Linked DNA regions of Mus musculus. The protein of the gene in region 3 binds, or shares a complex with, the protein of the main gene of each other region. Links are inferred from orthologs where the notes say so. Each region holds a gene or a part of one and is shown on either strand. Other genes may lie near its edges.

Evidence for each region. The genes of interacting proteins can lie anywhere in the genome.
Region 1: Cep290 (region 3) and Tctn1 share a complex: the UniProt entries of both Homo sapiens proteins name them as parts of the tectonic-like complex. The link is inferred for Mus musculus from reciprocal best matches to the Homo sapiens genes CEP290 and TCTN1.
Region 2: Cep290 (region 3) and Tmem67 share a complex: the UniProt entries of both Homo sapiens proteins name them as parts of the tectonic-like complex. The link is inferred for Mus musculus from reciprocal best matches to the Homo sapiens genes CEP290 and TMEM67.
Region 4: Cep290 (region 3) and Tmem231 share a complex: the UniProt entries of both Homo sapiens proteins name them as parts of the tectonic-like complex. The link is inferred for Mus musculus from reciprocal best matches to the Homo sapiens genes CEP290 and TMEM231.

The regions. Positions count from the first base shown.
Region 1 is NC_000071.6:122,261,661-122,265,879, forward strand, and holds the start of Tctn1 (tectonic-1 precursor), read right to left. Parts: upstream 2,801-4,219; 5' UTR 2,710-2,800; coding exon 2,478-2,709; intron 1-2,477. UniProt on the Homo sapiens protein: Component of the tectonic-like complex, a complex localized at the transition zone of primary cilia and acting as a barrier that prevents diffusion of transmembrane proteins between the cilia and plasma membranes.
Region 2 is NC_000070.6:12,085,138-12,089,388, reverse strand, and holds the start of Tmem67 (meckelin precursor), read left to right. Parts: upstream 1-1,451; coding exon 1,452-1,674; intron 1,675-3,388; coding exon 3,389-3,477; intron 3,478-4,251. UniProt on the Homo sapiens protein: Required for ciliary structure and function. Part of the tectonic-like complex which is required for tissue-specific ciliogenesis and may regulate ciliary membrane composition.
Region 3 is NC_000076.6:100,486,356-100,490,381, reverse strand, and holds the start of Cep290 (centrosomal protein of 290 kDa), read right to left. Parts: upstream 2,801-4,026; 5' UTR 2,630-2,800; intron 2,104-2,629; 5' UTR 2,076-2,103; coding exon 1,974-2,075; intron 1,821-1,973; coding exon 1,743-1,820; intron 1,063-1,742; coding exon 993-1,062; intron 236-992; coding exon 189-235; intron 1-188. UniProt on the Homo sapiens protein: Involved in early and late steps in cilia formation. Its association with CCP110 is required for inhibition of primary cilia formation by CCP110.
Region 4 is NC_000074.6:111,931,014-111,935,311, forward strand, and holds the start of Tmem231 (transmembrane protein 231), read right to left. Parts: upstream 2,801-4,298; 5' UTR 2,754-2,800; coding exon 2,615-2,753; intron 2,517-2,614; coding exon 2,347-2,516; intron 1-2,346. UniProt on the Homo sapiens protein: Transmembrane component of the tectonic-like complex, a complex localized at the transition zone of primary cilia and acting as a barrier that prevents diffusion of transmembrane proteins between the cilia and plasma membranes.

The DNA.
Region 1 (4,219 bases), on a different chromosome or scaffold from region 3:
CACTTTGAGTACCCCACCCCAGTGTCTCCCTAAGGTGGCTGCAGGGGTCTACACGTCTCCTTCAGAGCAGATTCCAAGGAAGGACTGTTGGCAGCCTTGTCCCTTTCCTCACATGCAGCCGGTTGCTGAACTCAAAGTCGTAAGATCCTGACCAATAATCAAATGTTCCTAATTTGGCTTATGATGTCCTTTTGTAATTTAAAATTTTACAATATAAGGTAATGCATTTATGACAGGATACAACAACAACATGGAGGAAAGGCAGGGACATCCCCCCACCCCCACCCAGACAGCAACTCAGACCTCAGCCACCCTGACAGCCACTGTGACTGAGTCTTCAGGACTCGCATCGATCAGGCAGAGAACCTCCACGAGAGCAGAAGGGAGAGCTTCCTCGCAGAGTACTGAGCACGCGATAGACTGGCTCAGTTTACTACTGTCTTTACTACCCTGCTCATTCTATCTCTGTCAATGGAGAAAACCCTCTCAAAGAAACAACAGAGGGCTAAAGAGGCGGGGTGATCGCGATAGAGCACTGGCTGCTCCTGCAGAGGATCTAACTTCGGTGTCCACAACCCACAGGACCGCTCACAACCATCTCTAACTCTGGCTCCAGGGGATCTCATGCCCTCTTCTGGCCTCTGAAGGTACGGGGCACGTATATGGCATACAGATAGATAAGATAATCTCAAAAAAAACCACAACATACAACAACAAGAAACAATATATAGCACAAAGATAACAAACTGAATTCATGGCACAGACTACTGTGAGGAGAGAGGAAATAATGCATCCAGGGCTTTGGCAATTTTGGTTGTTTGCTCTTTGCTTCCTGAAGCAGAGGCTACTTTGGGTCACAGGTGCCTTCCACCATGGTTCCTGCCTTTCCCCAGCTAAGGTGTCACTGAATCTGTTTGTTTGTTTGTTTCTTGTTGTTTTTCTTTGAGACAGGAATTCTCTGTGTAGCCCTGACTGGAACTCACTTTGTAGATCAGGCTGGCCTCACACTCAGAGATTCCCCCACCCCTCCCCAGGATTAAAGAGTGTACCACCTGCACAACCTGGCTTGATTTTTTTTTAATTTATTTATTTATATGAGTTACACTGTAGCTGTCTTCAGACACACCAGAAGAGGGCACCAGATCTCATTACAGATGGCTATGAGCCACCCATGTAGATGCTGGGATTTGAACTCAGGACCTCTGGAAGCGCAGTCAGTGTTCTTAACCACTGAGCCATCTCTCCAGCCCCCTGGGCTGCATCTTAACTGTAATGTTTGGTTTCCTTTTGGGGAAGAGGGGCAATAATCTCAGGCTTCAAACAAAGAATTTTAGCCAAATGCTGACGGGATGTCATAGCATTCTTATTTGTATGAATGAATGGTTTCAAAATTTACAAAAAAAAAAAAACCAAAACAAAAAAACAAGCTCTAGAGATGGGAGGCAGGCTGGGAGGCCCACACCTGGGAATCTCAGCAACTGGGAGGCAGAGTCAGGAAGATGTCAGGTTACAGGCCAGTCTGGGTCACTTAGCAAACCTGTCAGGAACAAAGTTAGGAAAGAAGGCGAAGGCAGGAGACTGGAATGGTTCTAGAACAGGCTGGGGAGATGGCTCAGGAGTTAAAAGCACATACTGCTTGTATACAGGACCTAACTTCTGTTCCCAGGACCCAAGTCAGCCAGCTCTCAAACAAACTCCAGCTCCCCACTTCGGTTCTCCAAGGGCGCCAATATATATCCACCCCATCCTCACAAACATATACAAATATGCACACACAATTTAAAATACTTTTTTAAGATTTAGAAAAAATTCCCCCCGAAAGTGGTATAACGCTCTGGAAAGGCACGAAGGGAAAGGGGAGTTTTATTGATAAATGAAAAATGCTTTCTTAGTCCGAAAGACAAATTAGCTCCTCCTTGACTAGGTCCTCTCTAGCCATGGACAACTGCGCGTACTCACTAAAAGAACGCCATACTCCCTTCACTGGGATGGGTAAAAGGGAGAGAGCAATTAAGTCCACTACCTCATGTGTTTAAATTTACAACCACGAATTGTTGCCAAAGCTTCAAATTCCGAGCGGTAAGTAGATACGGATGAAACAGGTGTGTTTAATAACTCCATTTAGCTGGTAAAAAATGTCTAAAACGCACTTAATCACCCTGAAAATATCTGCTGGGCTCTCAGTAATCTAGACACAACTGGGATGCCCATGTCCGTGTGTCTGCGTGGAGAGGACGAAGATCCACTTAGCACTCTTTCTTCTACCAGTACTGCCTTCAACTCATTCTGTAGGTTTCTATCTAGTACCCCACTGCAGCCGTCTGCAATGATGCGGAAAAGGGAGTAACTGAGCCCCGCCCTCCGCATTTGTGTGCCAGAGATCCGATCTCCCCCTGAGGGTAACGACAGGGAGGCTGAGAAGGGGGTAACTTTGAGCTGGTGTACCCGCTCCAGGGGGGTCACCCCTTTGTACCCACCGTCCGTGACCGGGGTAGGCCTGGGGCCAGAGCGCTCCGGTGCCCTGGGAGTTCCCGGGGTCCTAGGCGACAGGGAGGGCTGCAGAGTGGTGGGGGTGGCCTTGGTGGAATTGAGATCCTCCTTCGTCACTGCTGGGGTGGCCGCAGCCGGGATGGCAATGACCTGGGTGCTCGAAGAGGTGTAGCAGTTTAGGAGCACCAGCAGGAGCGGCGGGAGACCCCGCGACCCCATGGCCTAGCAGAGTAGCCCGCGCCGGGGAGCTAGGCCCGTCTGTTGCCCGGGCAACAGTCACAGCCTAGCGCTAGGTATCACGGGAAAGGGCTCGCGAGGCCAAACTGGTCTGCGGAAGAAGGTGGGGCCTGAAGTCAGACCCGCGAATGGGGCGGGAGCTGGGCGAGGCTATAGGCGGGGCCTGGGCGGAATCGGAGAGGAGGGGCGGGGCCGGTGGGGGCGGGGTATGAGACAGCTCTTTCTAAGGAGCCCTCAGAAAATCGGAAGATGTAAACTTCTGTTGTGACACTTTGGGTGCTGCGTGGTTGTTTTTTTTTTTTTTTTTAAAAATGTAGATTCCCAGCTATAGCCTCACAGAATTCGGAGTCAGTCAAGACTAGGGCAGAGCCTAGAAGAGAGTATTTCTAATAAAAGACCCGCAGCGCATGTTTAGAAGTGACTTGGTTCCTTTAAGTTACATTGAATTTCTTACCCCATGTAACACTTTCTTTACTTTCTTTGCCTTTGGATACATCGCAGGAGGTCGCCAGAGCACTTCTGTCCACGGATTTATTTATGATAAGAGAAACAAAAGAATTCTTAACTTTTTGGTTCTTTTAGACGGGATCTCTCTGTGCCTGACTAATCTCGAACCCAAGGCAGCCCTATGTCAGTGCCTCATGCCAGGCATGCACCACCGCATCCAACCTCCATATCTGCCTTTATGATTATATCATTTGGAATGTTCTTCTCATCGTGTGTGTGTGTGTGTGTGTGTGTGTGTGTGTGTGTGTGTGTGTGTGTTTACTGGTAGGGGGAGGATGGGGGAGGAATTTGAGACAGGGTTTCTCTCTGTAGACCTGACTGTCCCAGAATGCACTCTGTGGACCAGTCTGGCCTCGAACTCGGAGAACCACCTGCCTCTGTCTCTCAGGTATTTTTTAAGGGTTAGTTATGTTTTGTTTTGTTTTGTTTTTTGTATATGGTGTTGTGTCTGTATGTATGTACACCAGCAGAGGGCATCAGATCCCATGAGACAGTCATAGACATGACATGAGCCACCAAGTGGTTGCTGGGAATTGAACTCAGGACCTCTGGAAGAGCAGCCCAAGCTCTTAACCGCTGAGCCATCTCTCCAGCCCTTCCTTAAGTCTTACAGCCCTGTGCTTCAAATCATTCTGTGAAAAGTTCTCAAAATCCTTTTATCCAGTCTCAAGCCTCAATGTAATTTTCTGACATTTGACTTCAAGGTGTAGACTGTTATCTGCTCATACATTTCGAAAGCCTTAGGGGACAGTGGGGACTCATTTGTTAGTTTCTTTCTTTCTTTCTTTCCATCATAATTCACTGAGTCCATCTAGGGGCTAGAGAGATGACTCAGCCATTAGGAGCCCTTGCTGCTTGGAGAAGACCAGGGTTTAGTTCTCAGCACCAGCATGGTGGCTTCTCACCTGTGTTACTCCAGCTCTAAAGGATATAAACCGGTCCTCTGGTCCCTGGGGGCACCTGCATGAGTGTGTGCACCCAAATA
Region 2 (4,251 bases), on a different chromosome or scaffold from region 3:
ACCGTCTCTCTGCTCATGCGCAATCCAGGCCCAACCAGCCACCCCTTGGCGCTCTGAACGCGCGTGCGCAGACGTACTGCTTCGGTTACAGTGATTGGCGGGTGTGAGTGAGGAAGGCTGTTCTCTGCAGTGTAGTATGGTTTTGTGCATGCTCTATTTCTAGGCAATCTGTGAGCCCCTGACCCACCCCTGAAAACTTCCACTGGGGGGCGGGGATGTGAGGCAATTGTAAAATATACAAATCAAAAAGGTTTCTTTTTTTTCTTTTCATCATAATGAACCGCTTTGGAAGTGGAAAGCTGCAGAGTTTTCCATCCTCTCCTGTGATTTCTGTTAAACCTGAGAAAAACAGGGCAGTTGCATAGGCAGATAAAAGCAAGCTGTATTTACAACAGGCCTTCGGGCTGCCTTACCTAAAGTATGTATTACAGAAAGCATCCCTTCAACCTTTTATTACTGTGCTGTTAGGTGTATGTGACAATTCCCAACAATCACACTATGTGGCAGTTCTCCAGTCGGGGGTTTATTGGGATGGGAAATAGAGTTATCCTCTGGGAGAGGGAGGAGAACCAGGGACAGGGGAGAAAGGGAGAATGAGGCTTTTATTAGGCATTGTTGCGCTAACAGTCTGCAAGGCTGTGCACTTTAATAGGCAATATTCATGTATATCCAAATTTGGTTCTCAAACCAAGTGAGATGAGGTGTATATGTAGGGTGCTTTATGCACAATACAGAGAAAGTATGAAATCAAGATTCAGTAGGCAAGGTTTCTCCTAGACTTTTGTCATAAAGGTATTATATATAAAATCAATGAGGGTTTCTGTTTGTATTGCTTTGCTAAAACTCAAACTCAGGACTTGAAACAATCCCTACCCTTAGTGTTTTTTAAATAATGTAAAAACAAAGCCGGGCATGGTGGTGCACGCCTTTAATCCCAGCACTGTAGAGGCAGAGGCAGGCGGGATTTCTGAGTTCGTGGCTAGCCTGGCCTACAAAGTGAGTTCCAGGACAGCCAGGACTATACAGAGAAACCCTGTCTCGAAAATCAGAACAAAACAAACAAAAAAAGTAAAAACATAGGGCACCTCCTTTGTTGTCAAAATTAATCCCCTGGGTAAACTGTCATGTAGGTGTGATTGCCACTTTCATGAAACACTTTTAAGTGCTAAAACCATATATTTTCCATTGCTGTAGTAGTATTTCCTGACACGGTAAATTGACTGCGTCCCAGAGTTTTAAATACATTTTAAATAACCGCCCCTAATTTATTTAGCATATGTCTGATCCATTGTTTCCCGCGTGCGTGGTAACCTAGCAACCAGGCGTCGCAAGGTTGAGTTTTTTTTTTTTTTTTTTTTTTTTTTTCTGAACCCTGTTGTCCAATCAGCTCAGCGGACTCACCGAGGAGGCTGCTGGGGAGCTGGAGACTGCGGACCCAGGATATGGGTACCATGGTGACGCGTACAAGGCCTGTGGCGGCCATGGCGGTCAGATCTCGTTCTTCATCCCGGACTGGCACCGCCTACCTTCTCTTAGTTCTCTGCGAAGTCTCATGGGCACAAATCTTCTCCTTCCCTTTCCGGCGGCCTGAGACCTGCGACTTCAACCAGTACTTTGACATCTCGGCGCTCTCCTGTGCCCCCTGTGGCGCCAACCAGCGGCGGGATGCACTAGGTGAGGCGGTTTGGGGGTGGATGGACTCTGACCAAAATAAAGCACTCCTGACAGCCAGCACTCCAGACATTTTATTTGGAGAATGTTTCAGAAAATGCACAGCTATCAAACCTAAGAAAGGGTTTCCTGGGAGGATACGGCTGACACAATGAGATCAGTCACCCAGGCGCCACCACCCTACCCTCCTCCAGGAACTCATTCCCCGGAGTCAGTCTCTGGCAGGGAATCCTTAGGATGGCACCTGAAAGCCGCCTAAGAAAAGTAGAATAGAAATAGAAAAGAAATAACCTGAGGCGTCTAGTGAGGTACCCTGACAGGAAAGCAAGGGAAGAAATGTGAATTAGTAAACTCTTGTGACCATTAATTCTACTTCCAAATTCAAGATATTTAAAGCTGTTTGCAACTGTGACTATAATCAGATTTTGTAAGCAAAGGAAACTGAAACCGAGATGTTGTGACATCTGTGTGACATATACTGGAAACTAAGAGAACTCTTGTCTCTTCCTCACTTTCTTTTTTGTTTTTTGTTTTGTTTTGTTTTTCGACACAGGGTTTCTCTGTGTAGCCCTGGCTGTCCTGGAACTCTCACTTTGTAGGCCAGGCTGGCCTCGAACTCAGAAATCCGCCTGCCTCTGCCTCCTGAGTGCTGGGATTAAAGGCGTGGGCCAGGACACCTGGCTTCCCTCACTTTCTACCTCTGCATTCCCAGCGCGTGGCTTTGCATCTGTGGTTACATATTCCCTTAGGACCTGTCCCTTTTATTGTTGATGACTTCTGTTTGCTCACATTGTCCTTTTAGACTTAATTGCATCGATTGGTCTAGTTCTCCCTTAACTACTCAGAATGAGTCTTTTCCTATTTACTGAAGTCTAAAATGCTGTGAATCTCAGACTGGTTAACTCTCCTGCTTTAGGCCTGGTAGAGTCTCACTTAAGGCAGTGCGGATCACTGTGTCAGAAGATGGAGTGTGAAGAGCAAACGTGTTCTGCATTGTATTGCTTTCATGACAATGAATGAAGACGTGTGTGTTGTACATAGACTCCTACAGGTGCTGGCTCTACTTAGTCCTTAGAGAATTCTTTCTTTAACTAGCTGAGTCTACTTGTAATTACAAACAACATTTATTTTCTTTCTAGAGAAAGAGTATTTGAATGAAAGCAATTTTCCAATAAGATATTGACAAAATTAAAACTCACTAAACACACATACATATGGTTTAGTGATGCAGAAATGTAATTCCTAGAGCAAGTAAGTAGTTTTCATAGTTCAATAATAATTGCAGTTTAAAAAGTAGCAACATGATGCCAGACATATTTCTAAACTTTGACCCTATTAGGTAGGTCCTGTTTTTTTCTCCATTTTACTAAACAAGAAGCCGAAGTATAGAATTCATTAACCCACTCAGTGTTTGCATGTATACGCACAGACCCATAGACACATATACATGCACAGACAGACAGACAGAGAGACAGACAGACAAAGACACCTGTTGTCTCTCATATAATGCCCAGTCTGGCCTCGCACTGTCTGTGAGCAGGGATACCCTTGAAGTACTGCCTGAACTTCCTGCCTCTTCCTCCTAAATACTGAGGTTACAGGTATACACCACCACTCCAAGCTTCAAAATCCTAAGAACTGTTAAGTTTGTGTCTTGGAGTTTTGTTTGCTAAGGACAATATCAGCTTTGTTTTTTTTTTTTTCTTTTTCTTTTCAGGAACTTCCTGTGTATGTCTACCAGGATATCATATGATCTCTAATAATGGAGGACCTTCTATTATTTGTAAAAAGTGTCCAGAAAACATGGTATGAATAATTTATTTTAAAATAACTTTTGAGAAAAAGTCATAAATGTCTATCTCTCAGACTTCAGTATAATTTCCCATTTGTTCACATACTTTAAACTTTTTTTGTTTTGGGTTTTTTGTTGTTGTTTTTTTGTTTTGCTTTTTTTGTTTTGTTTTTTTTTTTGTTTTTTTGTTTTTTTGTTTTTTTTTGGTTTTTTGAGACAGGGTTTCTCTGTGTAGCCTTGGCTGTACTGGAACTCACTCTGTAGACCAGGCTGGCCTAGAACTCAGAAATCCGCCTGCCTCTGCCTCCCAAGTGCTGGGATTAAAGGCGTGCGCCACCACGCCCCGCTACTTTAAACTTATTAAGGTAATTTTATTAGTATACATTTTGAGAGATCAGTAAAGCAAAGAAGAAAACTTTGGGGAAAAAAGACAAATTCATTTTGTTCTGAAAGTGGTTGAGTCAGATATCCCAAGTACAAAGCTGTGAAAAAAAATCTTTCTGTTTGCCTCACAGAATAACTAGGGTATAAAGAGAAGCTGAGTATTCCCTATGTAGAGCCATTCGGGGTAAAATGTCTTTGCTGTAGATGGCATTCGCTGTCTTAGATGTACTGTGCTGATCGTCTTAAATGATGCTTGATCCTCCTAATGCTACATGAGGTTCAGCAATCCTCATGCTACATTAGGTACAGCAAGTCGATGCATTGCCGGTTGCATCAATAGAAATGGAATCATTCGAAGTTTGCTTAGTTTCCTCATTACATAATGGTTCAGGGAAATTCGACTA
Region 3 (4,026 bases):
ACTTCACTGGATGCATAATTCTTAGAACTCAAGTCACAAAAGCACATTCTGTGTAATGAATAAACGCATGAGCACAAAATCTTGTATTTTCCAATCTGGGAGGATTTGAAAACAATTTAAAATAATGCAATTAATAACAACTACAAGAAAATTCAAAAACAAGGAAATATAAAAGGATATATATATACCTCCAGTTCATTTTCCAGTTTCATTACTTTTGTCTTTAATTGATTTTCTATTTAAAAAAAAACACAAATGTTTTAATTGGTTAAGTTTCCTATAATCAGATTTTAAGTAAACTTTAATAAAATAGTACTGTTCTCTGTAAAAGATTCCATCCTTAACAGATACAGGAAAGTAATTATTATATACTAAATGCATAAAATATGCATTCTAGAAATGCCTCATGTAGAGAGCAGAGGAAGGCTTCAGTGCATGAGCCCTGAGTCAGTGTGTACTACTGACATGGGCAAAGCCACGTCAGGAACTCCAAATGTCTCAGGCCTATGGCAAACGGCAAAGCCTTCCCTCCTCGTCTGACTGTGGATGTTGACAGGGTGTGCAGAAAATGTCCCCCTAATGTTTATGGCTCCCTTATAGAGACTACTCCTACTGAGATTTGATAAATCTGCCTCCCTATTCAACAGCAGAAACCCTGCCTTCATGTTTATCTGTATGCACTCACTCGACTTTATGTTCAGCTATGCAACAACTCCACTGCTCTGGTCAAGTGGATATAATACAGACAGTGAGCTTCTGGGGTGGGGCAGTTGCTCCATTAGAGAGCCTGGTCCAACCGAAAACAACTGTTCTAAGTGTCTGTGTGTTTTCTTTTCTTCACCCCCTACCACAGCACTCAGGCCAGTACCTGGAACTGCACAAGGATGTAGCATCTTTCAGTATAAATTGAATACATATGTTATAGAATAGGATAGATTTTATACTGTCTAATAAGTAATGGAACCACAGTAGTTTTTTCCCAAGACATTTACCAAATTTTGCTTGTTCTTCTCCAGCCTTTTCAACTTCTTCCAAAGCGAGCTCTACTTCCTGGGCTTTCATCTGAACATTAAAACGAGAGGGGAAGAATCTGTATTATTTACACTGTAATGTAAACAGTGGGAATGGAAACTGTGTGGAATTTGCTATCTCAGTCTGTAGTGTGTACGATGACTAACACACAGAGACAGTCAGTAAATAGTTGTTGAATAAATACATAAGGCTAGAAATTCCAGAATGGCAAGACTTTGAATTATATCTGATTTTTCCGTTAAACTTTATAGCCATTACTTAAAATGTTTTCAATATCTTTTTTACTATCCCAATTGTTATTATTAATAAATTTAGTAATTCCTTCTTATAATTGGAACTAATCAGCTCTCATCCCTTCAGTCTATACAACACATTTAATGTTGCCTTCATAAGTACATTTCTTTACCAAGTATGATTTAAAAACCTTTATTCCCTTCTAAAATGCTGATAACCAAAATATACTCTCAAACTCTTGAACAGTATATCCCAAATTACTGGCCCCAAATATTTTTCTATATGCTTTTACCTTAATGTAAAGAATACATATTCTTTCTCAGTATTTATTTATGAAGAATCTAGAATCCTCTTATCATTTCATGTATAGCTTATAGGGGAGAGATTTTGTATTTTATTTGACCATATGATTCTTTATGACTCTTTATGTTTCTCCTAAAAAATATTTCTTTTCCTACACACTCTTTCCTACAAACCTTCATTAGAGACTGGGTAATTCTGAATAGATGTATCATGTTTTCTTGGTCTTCATTTTTTAGTTCATTTACTTCCACCTAAGGAAACAAACACACAAAAAATGGACTATTTCATACCCTGCACATTAAATACAAGCACTCTTCCAGTTATAGCATTCAATGATTTCAAGAAGCAATTTCAATTCATGACATTGTACATCAGGCTCTGTGTACAAATCATTTATTAAGTACCTTGGATAAAGATATCAATAATTTATCTGCTAACTCTTCTTGCCGTGGCAGGTCATCTGGATCAACTTTGATTAATTCTTTCCACTTTATATTAGGTGGCATCTTGAATTCTTTCACTGTCTCTCAGCCTCTACAAAGAAGCAGGTGGATTTTAGCATTTTCAAGGAAAATGGCCTTGCAGTGTTTACATGATCATGAGCGGTCTTACTTAACTCTCTAGGTGCTGGCTAAGAGCTATGGCTCCTGAACTGCAAAACAGATGCAGAGGCAAACAGCCTCGACGAAAATTAGTTCCCCTGACACAGGCTATACGATAATGTACACGCTAAATTATTATTTTCTTGCTAAGACGAATTCGGAGCTAAAACCCCGAGGCCCCTTTTCCAAGTCCCCTACCATCAATGATGGTACCAACTCCCAAGATGTTTGGAAGTTTTTGAAAACCTTCTGAGGAAAGGGGACCAGAGGATTTTTAAAGTAGATAAAAAGACTGAGCTAAATGAAGTGTTTGCGGAATCAAGCTCAATCAGGGAGGCCGAGACGACACTGCAGACAAGAGCGACAGAGGTCTGGATAGGTAGGGCTGCACCCTGTCCCTCGGGATTACGATCCTGTGAACGACACTAAGCGGCTCCGGCTCACGAGGATCCACCCACCGAAACCAAGACCTGCCACCAGCAGCAGTCACTCATCTACAGCGACCACCTCCGGGTTCGGCCACCGCCCCGGCCTCACGCTTCCCAGAGCGGTCCTCGCGCACTCAGGCTGCTCCCGCCAACTCTTCCCGACCGAGCCGAAGCGGCGCCGGCTGCTAGGCGACACCACTCCCCGCCCCCCAGCCTGCCAAGACCGGAACTAGGCCCCGGGATACCTGGGAAGACTACATTTCACGACCCTGGAAAAAGCTTTACGGCTCTATTTCCCCTCCAAGCCCTCCTTACTGTGGATGAGGGAGAGCCGTGAGATGAGGACTCTACGTCCCAGAGTGCAGTTCGGCGTCGCGGCTGTGCATCCTGGGATTGGAAGTTTTTGGGAAGAGCGGCGCGTTCCCGGCGTGCAATGCGGGAGTCTGCGGCCGCCCTGGAAGAGCTGGGGGAAGGCTCGGGAGGCGGGAGGAGCGGCTGCTAAGGTGCGGCCGCCCCGGAGTCCGAGCGTGGCAGGCTATGACTGTGTTTTCTGCGGAGTCCTTCTCCGGTCCACCATCCCAGAAGCTTTCCTGAACCGTCTCCTGGCGGAGCCGCCCTCAGGTGAGGTCGGGGCGTGTCAACCCACAGCCAGGAGTAGCTCAGGGAACCTTTGCGTTTTTAGGGAAGCGCTAGCTTGGGGCTGCCGAAGGGCTGGCGGATCTTGCAGAGGTTTGGGAAAGAGTCCTCCGGCTACTCAGGTAGGTGCGAGGGGCTCCCAGTTAGTGGCTTCCCTAAGAGGGGAGTCAATAAAAGTTTCCAGCCTCCTTGGTGTCTGGGAAAGTGGAGCGCCCCCACCCCCACCGCACCCCCTGAGTTCACGCTCTGGTTGAGTGAAGAAGGAGCGTCAAGATGGGGCAGCCTCCTGCAGCAGCTTGCGGATTGTAGTGCTTATTAGGTTAATAAGAGTGGAGTGAAGGCCAAGGAAAGAGGAGCCTTAGTGCGCCCAAGGCTCTTAAGCCGGGCTGGAGGGAGGGAGGAGGGCCATGCCAAGCGATGGCATTTTGCTGTCATTTGCTGGGTACCAAGGGAGTTCTTGGGGGAAAGTGCCTTCTCCTTCTCAGATGTTAATCTTCTTACTCAGGGAACTGTTGCCAAATGCACAGCTATTCTACACCAGCAGGTAACTTTAGGAGCTGTAAGCATCTATTTGAAAGAGTGCGTCTCGTATATATGTATGAATGTATGTATGTATGTATACGTGGATAGATATATAAGGTACTTATACATATCATACATAATAGATATTAAGTAATTAAAAGAAAAATGTAGACAGTTACATTTTTCTTTTGAAAAGATTTCTGCGGTTGAGAAAAACAAATAGCACAAAAAAATGGTATTTGAAACAAATTTTAAAGACGTTCTTCAGA
Region 4 (4,298 bases), on a different chromosome or scaffold from region 3:
ACCTGGCCCATAGCTGGACTTCATTACAAAGCCCTGTCTTAGGGATAAATAAATTAATAAATGGAGCTGGAGAGCTGGCTTAGCAGTTCAGAGCACTGGCGGTTCCTCTAGAGGATCCTGGTTTAATTCCCAGGGCCCATAGGGCAGTTTACAACTGTCTATAACTCCAGTTCCAGGGGATCCGAGGCACCAGGCATCACATAGTATACATATATGTGCATGTAGGCAAAGTACCCACACACAGAGAATAAAATAAGCAAAGCAGCAAGGTAAGTACATAAATAGTAAAAGCAGGCGTGGTGGCTCACAACTGCAGTCTCAGCGCTGAGCAGGCACAGGCTGGAAGACCGAAACACAAAGTCTTTAAGGTCATCCTAGGCTACAAAACCAAGCCATCCTGGATGACATGACATGCAGTCTCAAGAAACTAAAAGGGTATGTGTTGGTGGCCTGGGGGAAGAGTCTTGACCATCTGAAGAATAAAAGAGTGCAATGATGTTAAAACAAAACAAAACTTCCAAAGCAAAAACTTTTGCATTAGTTACCTAATGAGAGTGTGTTAGAAGCCCTCCCCAGGCTGGGTGGCTGGCGGTAGTAGCAGAGGGGAGGGAGAGGTTGACAAATCTCTGAGTTCGAGGCCAACCTGGTCAACAGAGCAAGTTATTTGACAGCCAGCGCTACACAGAGAAACCCTGTTCTAACAAATAGAAAGAAACGCTTTCCAGATGTTTAAATAAGATTTGCCGAGTCTCCACCTCTTTCATGAGAATCCTCTACTGACATTCCACGGGGGAAGCTGGAGCCTGCGCTCCCCTCCCACTCCCACCAGGCCCCATCGCACCTCCCCCTCTCTCATCCCTTCAGTTTCCCTAGGTGCGCATTTTGCTTAGTCAGCCTTTCATGTCGTAACTAAGACTACTACGCAAGTCCGGTTCGCAACCTTGACTGCGCATCCTTCCTAGCGTCTTCTCGTGGCTTATTTCCTTGCAGTTAACAATTACTTTACTTGCTTGCTTTGTTTTCTCTAAGTGCATGAAATTTCAACAAAACGCTTCCACTGGCATTCAGACGTGCATGACTTAAGTCTGGGCCTCACGTCTGTAGTCCCAGCTTCGTAGCTGGCTGAACTGGGCTTACAGCTTGGGCAGGCAACATAGCAATAACCCATCTCAAAAAGAATAAAAAAGCTGTAGGATTTAGTTAAAGCTTTGTTTATTCACTTACTAATTTTAATAGTAAAACGATTGGAGCAAATTAAAAAAAAAAAAAATCAAGGATGGGTAATGAGATAGCTCAGCAGGTAAAGACTCCTGCAGCCAACCCTGGGAATCCAAGCTGGATTCCCGGGACAGTGACAGGAGGGAACTGACCCCTCCAAGTTGTCTTTTGACTTTACATGCCAGCGCTACGCTTTTGAGACTGAATAGCCCTGAGCTTGCTGTATAGGTCAGGGAAGGGGGGGGGCAATCCTGCCTCAGGTGGAGGTTAGAAACAAAATATTTACTAACAAACACCTAGTTAAAGTCATCACTCTGCCCATGTCATTATATGAACGGCAAGGGATGACCGTAAGGAAGCACTTGATTTATGCGAAAGTAAACACTAAACTGCAGCCAGTAAAATGTTTCCCTTACACAGGAGACAGCTGCAGTGTGGCAAAGAGTTGAGAAGCCTAACCCAGACAGGCGTGGCTTGGCTAGAGCAGGACCTGAGAATTCAACCAATCACCGCTTGCCCCGCCCTACCCCGCATCAAGTCTGCATAAAAACACTGGTACTTTCTGTCTTTACAGCTTGGTGATGTTCAAACTCAGCAGCGTACTGGGGTGTACAGAACTCCGCCTACAAGCCCTCAAAGGGGTTTTTTCTTCAGCCACCTTTCCATTCAGAAAATGACCAGCACCAGAAACAGGCTCTGGACTCTTGTTGTCCGGCAAACACAGTGCCTGCACGGCTGCCTTTCTAGGGAAACCTGGAGAAACTGAATAAAACTATCTAGAAAGTTAAGCATGCGCAGGCCAAAGGGACTTTTGTTTCCAACCCTCGTGGCTCCTTAAGATCCAAGCTGTGGGACTGAGAGTGGCTCAGTGGTTAAGTCCTTGCATGCAAGCACAAAGCCTTGGGTTTGATTCCCAGCACCCCATATACCCCAGCAGGGCGTTGCATAGCGAATCCCCGGCACTGGGAAGGTGAAGGCCGAGTATCAGTTGTTGAAAGACGACTTTGGCTATATAGTTTAAGGCAAGCCTGGGATACACGAGACTCTGCTCTCACACCCGGTCAAATGACCCAAACTGGGATCTCACTCCATCCTATCACCCCCAGGATCCGGGCGGGAACCACGCACCGACACGAGCGGGACGCGCAGGTGAGCCCCCTGCAGCCGGTTGAAGGTGGGGAACGTGCTCCAGGCGAGGAAGGCTTCAGGCTCCGGCCCCAGGAGAGCCACGAGCAGCACTTGGTGCTGGAAGCGCACGTTCGGCTGCTCCTCGTAGCTGCTCCGCTTCAGCCAAAACCCTGCGGGAGACAAGGCGGGTTGGGGGGAGCCAGGTTAGGATTGCCGGCCTGGGCCCGCCGGCCGCGCCGTGTGGCCCTCCAGGCCCGGGCAGGCTCACCGTGGCTCCGGAAGGCCACCAGCAGCGGGGGGATGTAGGTGAGCGCGGTGGTCAACAGCAGGAAGAGCGCGGCCTTGGAGCAGAGCCCCGCGCGGTAAGCGCGCTCGATTGGGTGAGAGAAGAGATGGTACAGCGCCATGAGCGCAGGGCCGCAGCGCCGAGTCTCCACGGCAACCGACGGCGGGCAGAGGAACCAATAGCAGGCATGCAGGCCTCTAGAAGGGGGTGGAGCTAGCAGGAGGAGGGTCCTGTGTTAGTGCTGTGCCTGCGCGTCTCTTCAAGAAGGCAACTGTATGGGCTGGTGAGATGGCTCAGCCGGTAAGAGCGCTGACTGCTCTTCCAAAGGTCCTGAGTCAAATCCCAGCAACCACATGGTGGCTCACAACCATCCATAATGAGATCTGACGCCCTCTTCCGGAATGTCTGAAGACAGCTACAGTGGTGTACTTACATATAATAAATAAATCTTAAAAAAAAAAAAAAGAAAGCAACTGTAATGATATTTTCACTCACCAAAGTCTGTGTCAATTGTACAAAATCAGACGTGCATAGATGTTGACATCACCCCATAGATCATCTATTAACTCATGACATAAGGATGGTTGATGTAGCTTAGTTGGTAGAGGGCTAGCCTACTATACAGGAAGCCCTGAGTTCATCTCCAGCACTTCATTAAACCAGGCACCTTGGCCCACATCTGTAACACTAACAACTCTTCAGGTGAAGACAGAAGGATCAGAAGTCCAAGGTCATCTTTAGCTACATTGTGAGTTTGAGACCAGCCAGAGATACTGGAGACTTTGTTTCAATGCAAAAACTCCATTGAGGTTCATACTGAAGTCGGGACATTCCTATAACAAGGCCACCGTCCTAGAACCAGGTACTTTTGTCTTCAAGGTTAATGCTTTCACTATGCCCCATAGCAGGAAAGATAGAAAACAGGAAACAAACCCCCTGATTATTTAAAGGTTAGAACAAAAACAAAAAATAAAAGGCCGGGCGTAGTGGTGCACGCCTTTAATCCCAGCACTCAGGAGGCAGAGGCAGGCGGATTTCTGAGTTTGAGGCCAGCCTGGTCTACAAAGTGAGTTTCAGAACAGCCGGGGCTACACAGAGAAACCCTGTCTCGGAAAAAAAAAAAAAAAAAAAAAGGTTAAAGGGTATTTTACTAAATGGCTCCTTCTGTTGTACTTTGTTAGCTATAAACACTGATACTGTCTTCCCCAAAGTTAGCATTAGCTGATCACTTAGGTAAATACTAACACCAATATCTTAACATGGAAGACAGATTTTTACCTGTTTGGAAGTAGGGTCTTACTATGTAGCCTGTGCTGGCCCTCAATTCTCCTTTCTCCAGGTCCTCTGCAAGAACAATCGGTGCTCTTAACAATTGGGTCATCTCTCCAGCTCCCACCATCTATCTTAATTCTGGAAAGGCTGTCCTCTGACCTCTACATGCCTGTCATGGTGCTCATCTGCATCTATGCACAAATAATGAATAAGTAAATGTAGTGTAACATGTAAGTAAGCTGGAGAGGCCGGTTTTCCAGAGGATCAAGGTTTGACTTTCAGCACCCACACAGGGGCTCAGAGCCAACTGTAACTCCAGTCCTAGGGGATCCAACAGCTTCTGTGGGCACTGCAGACACATGGTCCATAGACACACACGCAGGCAAAACACCCA